2 linked regions of the Drosophila melanogaster genome follow. The protein of the gene in region 1 interacts with the protein of each later gene in a pairwise test. Each region holds a gene or a part of one and is shown in the gene's direction. Other genes may lie near its edges.

Region 1 (3,754 bases):
GATCGCAGACATCGTAGGTTACTGGCAATTGCCTTGATGCATTCCTCGCAGATCTGAAGGTATGAAACGTTCAGCTCCTGTATTACCGGATTCTCCTCGCTAGCGATGCCTTCTATGATGCCGCTGCTTGTCAAGTTATCGCAGTTTGAGATGTCCAGACTTTTGAGACACTTTAGCTTGGCCAAGTGGATGGCACCAGCATTTGTAATGCTCAGGCAGCCGTTCACCTTCAAGTGCTCCAGCTGCGGATTAGTTTGTACCAAGGCGGCCAGATTTTCATCGTTAACACACATTGTGGCCGACAAATCGAGGGCACACAACTGGGGCTGTGTGGCTAGAAAGTTCAGGATTGTGGTGCAGTTAAGCTGTCTGCATCCGGCCAAATAGAGGCGCTGCAGTTGGAGATTGAGGTCGCAAAGGGCCAACAAAGCCTGGCCAATTAGGGTGTGGCTAAAGTTCAACACGCGCAACGTACGTCGCTGCAGGTTCAGAATGGTGAGGATGAACTTGAACGTGAGCACAGACTCGCTGGGCAAAACGTGATCCGAGGAGCTGGTGGCAGGGTAAAATCTGCGATGAATAGCATTGTGAAAGGCTATGTGACAGCCGGACATGTTAATCGCTTCCAGACTGGGCATGAACGATGTGAGACGCATAAGAATGGCATCCGTGAGGTATTGGTTCTCGCACAGCGTCAGCTCCTTGATGCCGGCCAGATTGCTTGCCAGGTCGTTTAGGTCAGGACAGGAGTTGTTGTAAGAGTCCAGGAAAGAGCCGGACATGAACAGCGGCAGACAGCGCTTCAGCGACAGCGAGTGGAGATGGGGCAGCACGCCCAGCATGCCGTAGAACTGTTTGTCATTCAAATCCACATTGTCCAGAGCCAGGGACTGAGCGGTCCTGCCCATGAAGCGCATCAATTCCTTTACTTGTCCCAGTGTCACGTCCTCGAACAGGAAGTGCTGGAAACGCCGCTCGCAGCGCATCAGATCCACTCCAGGACTCAATTGATCCGATAGCACCACCTTGGAGAAGCAGACTCGCGTGCGCTGGTTAAATTCCGCCTGATCCAGCGCCGCATGCCATCGCTGGCAGGTGGATCCTGCCGCTTGTAAGTCCGAGTAGCCGAGATAGCTGAAAATCTTCAAAACAATCTGGGGGCGGAACAGAAAAAAACAAAATCAGCTGACTGCCCTAACAGGTATATGAATATGCAGATATAGATACGCTCGAAATGATGGATTGGTCACGGGACCGCGGCAGTCCGTTCACATTATATGCTCACCTCCAGCGGCAGATCATCGTATCTATGCAACCCGTACTCTAAGCCAGACATTACTCTATTGTTTTCGGATGCAAAATATTAAGATTAGTACAACCAACTAGCAGCTCCCACCGCCCACTCGCTTCGCCCGCAAACTACACGAAAACTACAGTGTTGACTAACTTAGTACCTGTGCTAGGTACAGTAGGACCGTGCCTTTTTTCTATCCTCACTGGTCTATAAAATACCAGAAGAAAAGTGTACCTTCATTGATTTACCAATTGGAAGTCGATCATGGAATTATTTACCTATTGCTTATGAATGATTTTAAATGTATATCGTTTTTCCTAAAATCAAAATAGGTTTAAATTAGCACAAAAAGCTTTAATTTATTTTTATAAATGTTTGCATCTATGAATCCAGTTAACAAAGTACAATGTGCAAGTACAATTTATTTATATCGATGATATATTTTGCAATACTATTTACTCTTAGCTTATTAGCCGTTACAAGTAATAACTGTCTTTTTTAAATGACTTTTTAGATACCTCTGTTTATAAATACTCCAATGACAACTGCACTTTGGCATTTGTTTGGTAACCGCGCACGGTAACTTTTTTTATGACATCAGATCGAATTGATTGTTGTAAAAAAGGATTTTTGAAGGTTTATAATTATTTCGTTGCCAAAGGATTCCAAACACCGCCGTCGACGTGCCCACAATAATGGCCGATCCCAAGTTCCAGAACCTACCGGGAATAGTAAGTCGGAACTCCGCACCATGGCAGTGACGTTTAAGCTTTCGTTTTTGCCCATTTATACATATATGTACTTTATGTTTTTAGGCTTATGACCAGCCGGACGTGTACGAAACTCCAGATGACCCGGAGCTCGATACATCCGACTACTACGAAGAGGAGCCGGAGAACGAAGCCATCGAGCGACTGCACATCTCGCCGAGCGTCGCTCACAAGCGCTTCAGCGGAGCAACGGTCGAGGGGAGTGTGGACTTCACGGATCGCATTGGACGACGCATGTGCCGGGGTTACGATACGCGCGGCTCCAGCGACTACGAGCTGGTTGGCCAGGGCGAGAAGGAGACGCCGGTGCAGAAGTGCCAGCGCCTGCAGATCGAGATGAACGAGCTTCTGAACGAGGTGGCCGCCTTGCAGGTGGACCGCAAGGTAGCCGACGAGGAGAAGCAGTCGTACGATGCGGTGGCCACGGTTATCAGCACGGCCCGAAAGGTGCTGGAGTCGCTGAAGCTGGAGCAAGTGCTGGGCAAGGAGCAGACGCCTGGAAGTAAGCAGGTGAAAGCACTCATTAGCCAGGTGGAGGAGTTCAAGCAGTCCGGCGTTCTCACAGCCATACCCACGCCTGGCACCGATCTGGCGGCCACGGCCCGCGTAGCCAGTCTAGAGCAGCGAATCTCGCAGCTGGAGAAGGTGCTGGGCGCTCAGCCGGACAAGTTGAGCCGCCTTACCGCCGCCACCAACACCACCAATGTACTAGAGGCAGTGCGTCATCTAAGCACCAAGGCGGCCCTGATACAGCCTGATAAACTGGACACCATCGAGCAGCGCCTGACCTCGCTGGCCGGCAAGATGGATGCTATCGCCGAAAAGTCCAGCGGCAGTGCCCAGGACGCCAAACGAGATCAGAAGATTACGGAACTATACGACATCGCGAAGCGCACGGAGCCAGTGGTGGAAATACTGCCGCACGTCATCGAACGCATGCAAGCCCTCGAGGCCCTCCATAAATATGGTAAGCAATTCTATTTAGCATTTTAGCATTGTGCTTGTTTCTGTAACTAATCAACTTGCTCTGCAGCAAACAATTTCGCCAAGATCATCGCAGAGATTGAGCAGAAGCAGGGAACCATCACCACTAGCTTGGTGAACAACAAGGAGCTGCTGCATTCCGTACAGGAGACTTTCGCCCAGAATCTGGAGACTATCAACAGCAAGGTGGCCAAGGTGGAGCAGCGTGTGGCGGCCATATCGTCTGCCAAATGAGTGGATGCATACCATGCGTATTAAATAAACATAGCTTATATTTATGAAAGATACCTATAATAAAGAGATCTACATTCGAGTCCAGTTCCAGTCAAAAAATAAATGCAAAGTGATCTGGAATTTAAAATGAGTTCATAATAAATATTAATATTAAAAGTGCTGAAGCTAGTTTACGAATATAAAATGCGATGGAAAATAAATCTTTAAATAATTTCGACTATCATTTTTAATAATGTATACTGATAAAAACTATTTTTAAAATTGCACATTGAAACGGAATATTTAAATTGCATACCGTTAAACTCGCAGTATATTCTGGTCGCACGCATTTGGTATTTCAGTGCGTGCCCTGTGGTATATTACGTTGGCTCAGAGCACGGTCACACTGGCCGTTCCTACGGTTCTTAAAAATATTAACGATTCCAGTTAAATTCAAGATCAAAAAGTCTCGTTGCAGCGCAAGCGAGTACAA
Region 2 (3,754 bases), on another chromosome or scaffold:
GATGCCCTTCCAGGATGTTCGCTGTCAGGCACTGAAAAAATAGGGGGGTAGGTACTCACACCTACGCAGAGGAAATAAAGAAAATGGGATGCTTCCTTCAGTCGAAATATTTAACAGTGTGAGCGAGAACCTTTTTAAAAGTACAAAATGTTTCGACTCTGTTTGTGCACCTTGAACTTTTGCCGATTTCCTCTGCCGAAGAGCTCACGTGTGCTTTTCCTTGCTTGCCCACGGTGCGTATGTGTTACCCGGCGTGCTTTTATTTATTTGCTAATTAACACCCATCCTGCGCGGAGCAGACGGCAGCCCAGAGGGCGACGACCATCCAGAATCCGACTTAGATTCCAAATCCCGGCCCCAAGTCGGTGGTTGCACTGTGCAACTTGTTGAAGGTCGTCGCGCAAATCGCTCATACGCCGCGTGGGTCTTGAAGGCGCGTGGCAAGCGGTCGGTTTCGCCTGGCAACCGCATTAATGGGCCATTAACAACCTGCCGGGATGATAGCGCGTGAGCCGCGTGTCAAACAGCGGTCAGCCCCAAATCGTGGTTGTTTCCGATGAATGGGCGACCGTACGTTTGTCTTTGCCCCACAAATGGACTAGAAACGGGAAACTTGAATTGATTCTGCGATAAAGAACGTATGCCTCGAGACACTCGAGCTACTCATGTGAAATGGGGTGTGGGGCTCAGTCATCTAAATCAATATTCTGCGGTTCCAATTTGGTATGTTTCAGATTATTTTCTAGTTTCTTGTGAGTCAGCAAAATGTAAAGGATAAACACATCTTTAGCAGTCTGAATTCCAGAGCTCATCCAACGCGGCTACATTATGCTGAGTGTGGGCTATTGCGATATGGCCAGCAGTTCCTCTTTCCGTCGAACGGCTTATCAGTGCTGAATTTCATTCATTCATGTAATTCAAAGCGGCTGTGCATTATATTTGGGCTGGCTTATAATTAGTTTTAAAATAAACCGCTTGGCCAGCGGAACGCGGAAAGCCGAGTGACGCAATCGGAGCAGCGAATTGCGAATGGTGTGGTGTTAGTCGGAAGCCAGCAACAAACTCGCTGCTTCTGATCGCCACGGCGGTGCTCCACTCGGCTCGGCTGAGGTTCGTTCCTTGACCCCCGGATTCCGGCGGTCTTGCCCGCCACTCGGGGTTCCATGTCACGTGCGCTCGCTCGGCGGAGTAAGTATGTATGTATGTATGTGGGTCTGTGCGGAATTGATTGATTTGCCAGCGAAGGTGGCGCACTGGAAGACAGACAGACAGACAGACTGACAGACGGACGGACGGACTGATAGGGCTGATGAAATTACAAGTCGCGCATCGTCATTCAGACCGATTGTGGGCATGTTATGCGAGTAAACGGATTTTGCGGCAATGAAATAATTGCCAACATTACAGAACTGGTAGTGTCTAATTAACCCGCACTGATAAAGCGGGGTACATGCCGCCGCTCAGATTTTCAAAATTGCATGGCCCTGCATTGAGTGCCCAAAATCTGAAACCAAATATTCGCGTTCCGGTGTCGCCGACAGAAGCGGTGGCTACTTAGCAAGTGGAACCACTGCGTCCCCGTCCATTCCAGTTGGATATGGAACGCCAGCCACATGAGTTTATCATAAAGCACCCACTAAATTTTTGCCGCTGCTGTTGGCGACCACAATGTTTGTAAATGTTTTTCACCGTCGAATGGTATTTCGGGGATTGCTTTGTTTGTCATTTGGGGTATTTGCCAACTGACCAACTACTGTCCATCTGAATGATTTTGGTGTGCCTCTTTTGGCTTAAATAGCAATATATTCAGATACCAATAAAGGCACGTCTGATAGAATTCAGGCCACGGGAGCAATCCGTTTGAATTTATCGTATCATTGAGTTGTAAGCCGTTTTGGCCGTTAATAGCCATCGAATTCTCATATCTTCACTGGTCTGCCTAGAATATAAGTTATTGACATTCTAATCATTTTCTTGAGCCCATGATGATATTTAAAGTCTAGATTAGTTTACGGTTTAAAAAGCACTGAGCTTTGATGCTGATTCAATCAGCTGATTCTTAATTCGTGGTGATTGGCTTTATTATCAGCTGTGATATTCCGTAAAGCCGGCAAATGAGCCCTTAGATCGATGTAAATGTACTATGTTATTTGGCGCAAATAACCACGCTTTTTCGCGGTCTTTTGTTTACAAAATTAATTTGTAATTTGTTTATGAAGTTGTGCGTGTTAAATACTGTGTTGCCTAAAGTAGATCATAGTTCAACAAGGAAATCCTTAACAAAGTAAGTTAACTAATTTATATAAATAGCCGGCCTGTTTTAGAAAGCCCAAAAAAGGGTTAGAGAACGCTTTTGTCTTGAAAATTTGGAATATTTGGAAAGTATACCCTTCCCATGTAAACAACTTCAGCTTTGTGATAAAAAAATAGGCACTCCGTTTTGCTAAAAGTAAAAAAGCGCATTAAAACCAAAAATTAAAGATAAAATCGTTAAATATCAGGCAGTTAAAAGATGTATCCCATTATGGAACTTATCATTGTAGCTCTGTAACTCATCAGCTCCAGCTCTGCCACCTGAGCATCCGCAAATCTCAGCCCCTGATTTCATTTTATGGCTCTGTCGGTGTGAAAGTCACTTTGTGGCAAACTGCAAGCAAAGTTCTGCTTATCCCTGGGGTCCTGAATTCGGTTCGTTTTCGCTCCAAATTTCAGCAATAGTCAGATGAAGAATTTTCAGTGTGTGATTTTTATTGTGGCTGCAATTCGCCTGGGTCTTGTTAACATTCGCATTTTTCTCGGAAAATTCGTTCGGTTGCAGTATAATGATGATGCTGGGAGTTGATTTCGCTGAGTTACTGCAATAATTGGAATTTAAATTTTAAGGACTTTCCGTCAGCTGTCTTTCGAGTGAATCCTCGGTTATCCCTTCTTTCCAGAACCTTACATTTTACATCTATTGCACAGCCCTAATATTACCTACCTGTTTTCTTTGTTTCAGGTCACCTGGATATATATTTATAGCGGAAAGGTTCGCGAAAATAATTAAATATCGGTTAGCGCGAGGAAAATCCATCGATCCGACAGCTGCGGCTGTTAATCTTACCTGATCGCTGCTAGTTGGATTAAGGAAAATCTGAGGCAGTGGGTGGGCAATAAAATCTGCACCCAATCCATATTTTACCTGATCATTGTATATAAGCTATTAGCAAAATGCCAGAAAGCCACAGTTACAAACTGAAACGTCTAACGTCAACAACAAGACAGCAAACTAATACCAAAATGGTCCTAAGCAATTCCACGCCGAACAACCAGTCCAAGCACAACCAGATGGTAGTGGACACGGCAGCCATGAACAGTGATGATCTCAGCGAGCTACTGCAGCTGAACGCGGAGATCGAGGAACGTCGTCGCTCCAGCCGCCACGGAGATGCCAGCACCGCCTGTGGCCTGCTCCGAGCTACGATGACCAGGGAGGAACTCTTCGAGATTTCCTCGCTGGATGATGATCGCTTCCTGACCGCCCTGGAGTACCAAAACTCGTTTGCATCACCGCGCCGAGTGCAGGTTACCGACCTGGACTTGTCCAGCATCGAGAATCTGATGAAGTACTTCGACGAAGAGGTACCTGTGACGCCAACAAAGACACTGGGTACCACCAAGGCAGCGGGTAACACGGGTAAAGTGGCCAGCACAATTGCCAAGTTGGCCCTCCAGTCGGATCCGGTCACGCCGCCCAAGCCAAAAGTGGGTAGTG

What was found. Proteins that work in one complex are often made in the same cells at the same time.
Region 2: the proteins of DCTN2-p50 (region 1) and slam interact in a two-hybrid assay, tested with the Drosophila melanogaster proteins (one large-scale study listed by BioGRID).

Annotation. Positions count from the first base shown.
Region 1 is NT_033778.4:8,889,965-8,893,718, forward strand, and holds DCTN2-p50 (dynactin 2, p50 subunit), read left to right. Parts: upstream 1-1,867; 5' UTR 1,868-1,989; coding exon 1,990-2,025; intron 2,026-2,109; coding exon 2,110-3,031; intron 3,032-3,097; coding exon 3,098-3,282; 3' UTR 3,283-3,375; downstream 3,376-3,754. Other genes in the region: CG8272 (uncharacterized protein), read right to left, coding at 1-1,154, 1,286-1,336. UniProt on the Drosophila melanogaster protein: Modulates cytoplasmic dynein binding to an organelle, and plays a role in prometaphase chromosome alignment and spindle organization during mitosis. May play a role in synapse formation during brain development.
Region 2 is NT_033779.5:6,370,298-6,374,051, forward strand, and holds the start of slam (slow as molasses), read left to right. Parts: upstream 1-2,090; 5' UTR 2,091-2,284; intron 2,285-2,998; 5' UTR 2,999-3,279; coding exon 3,280-3,754.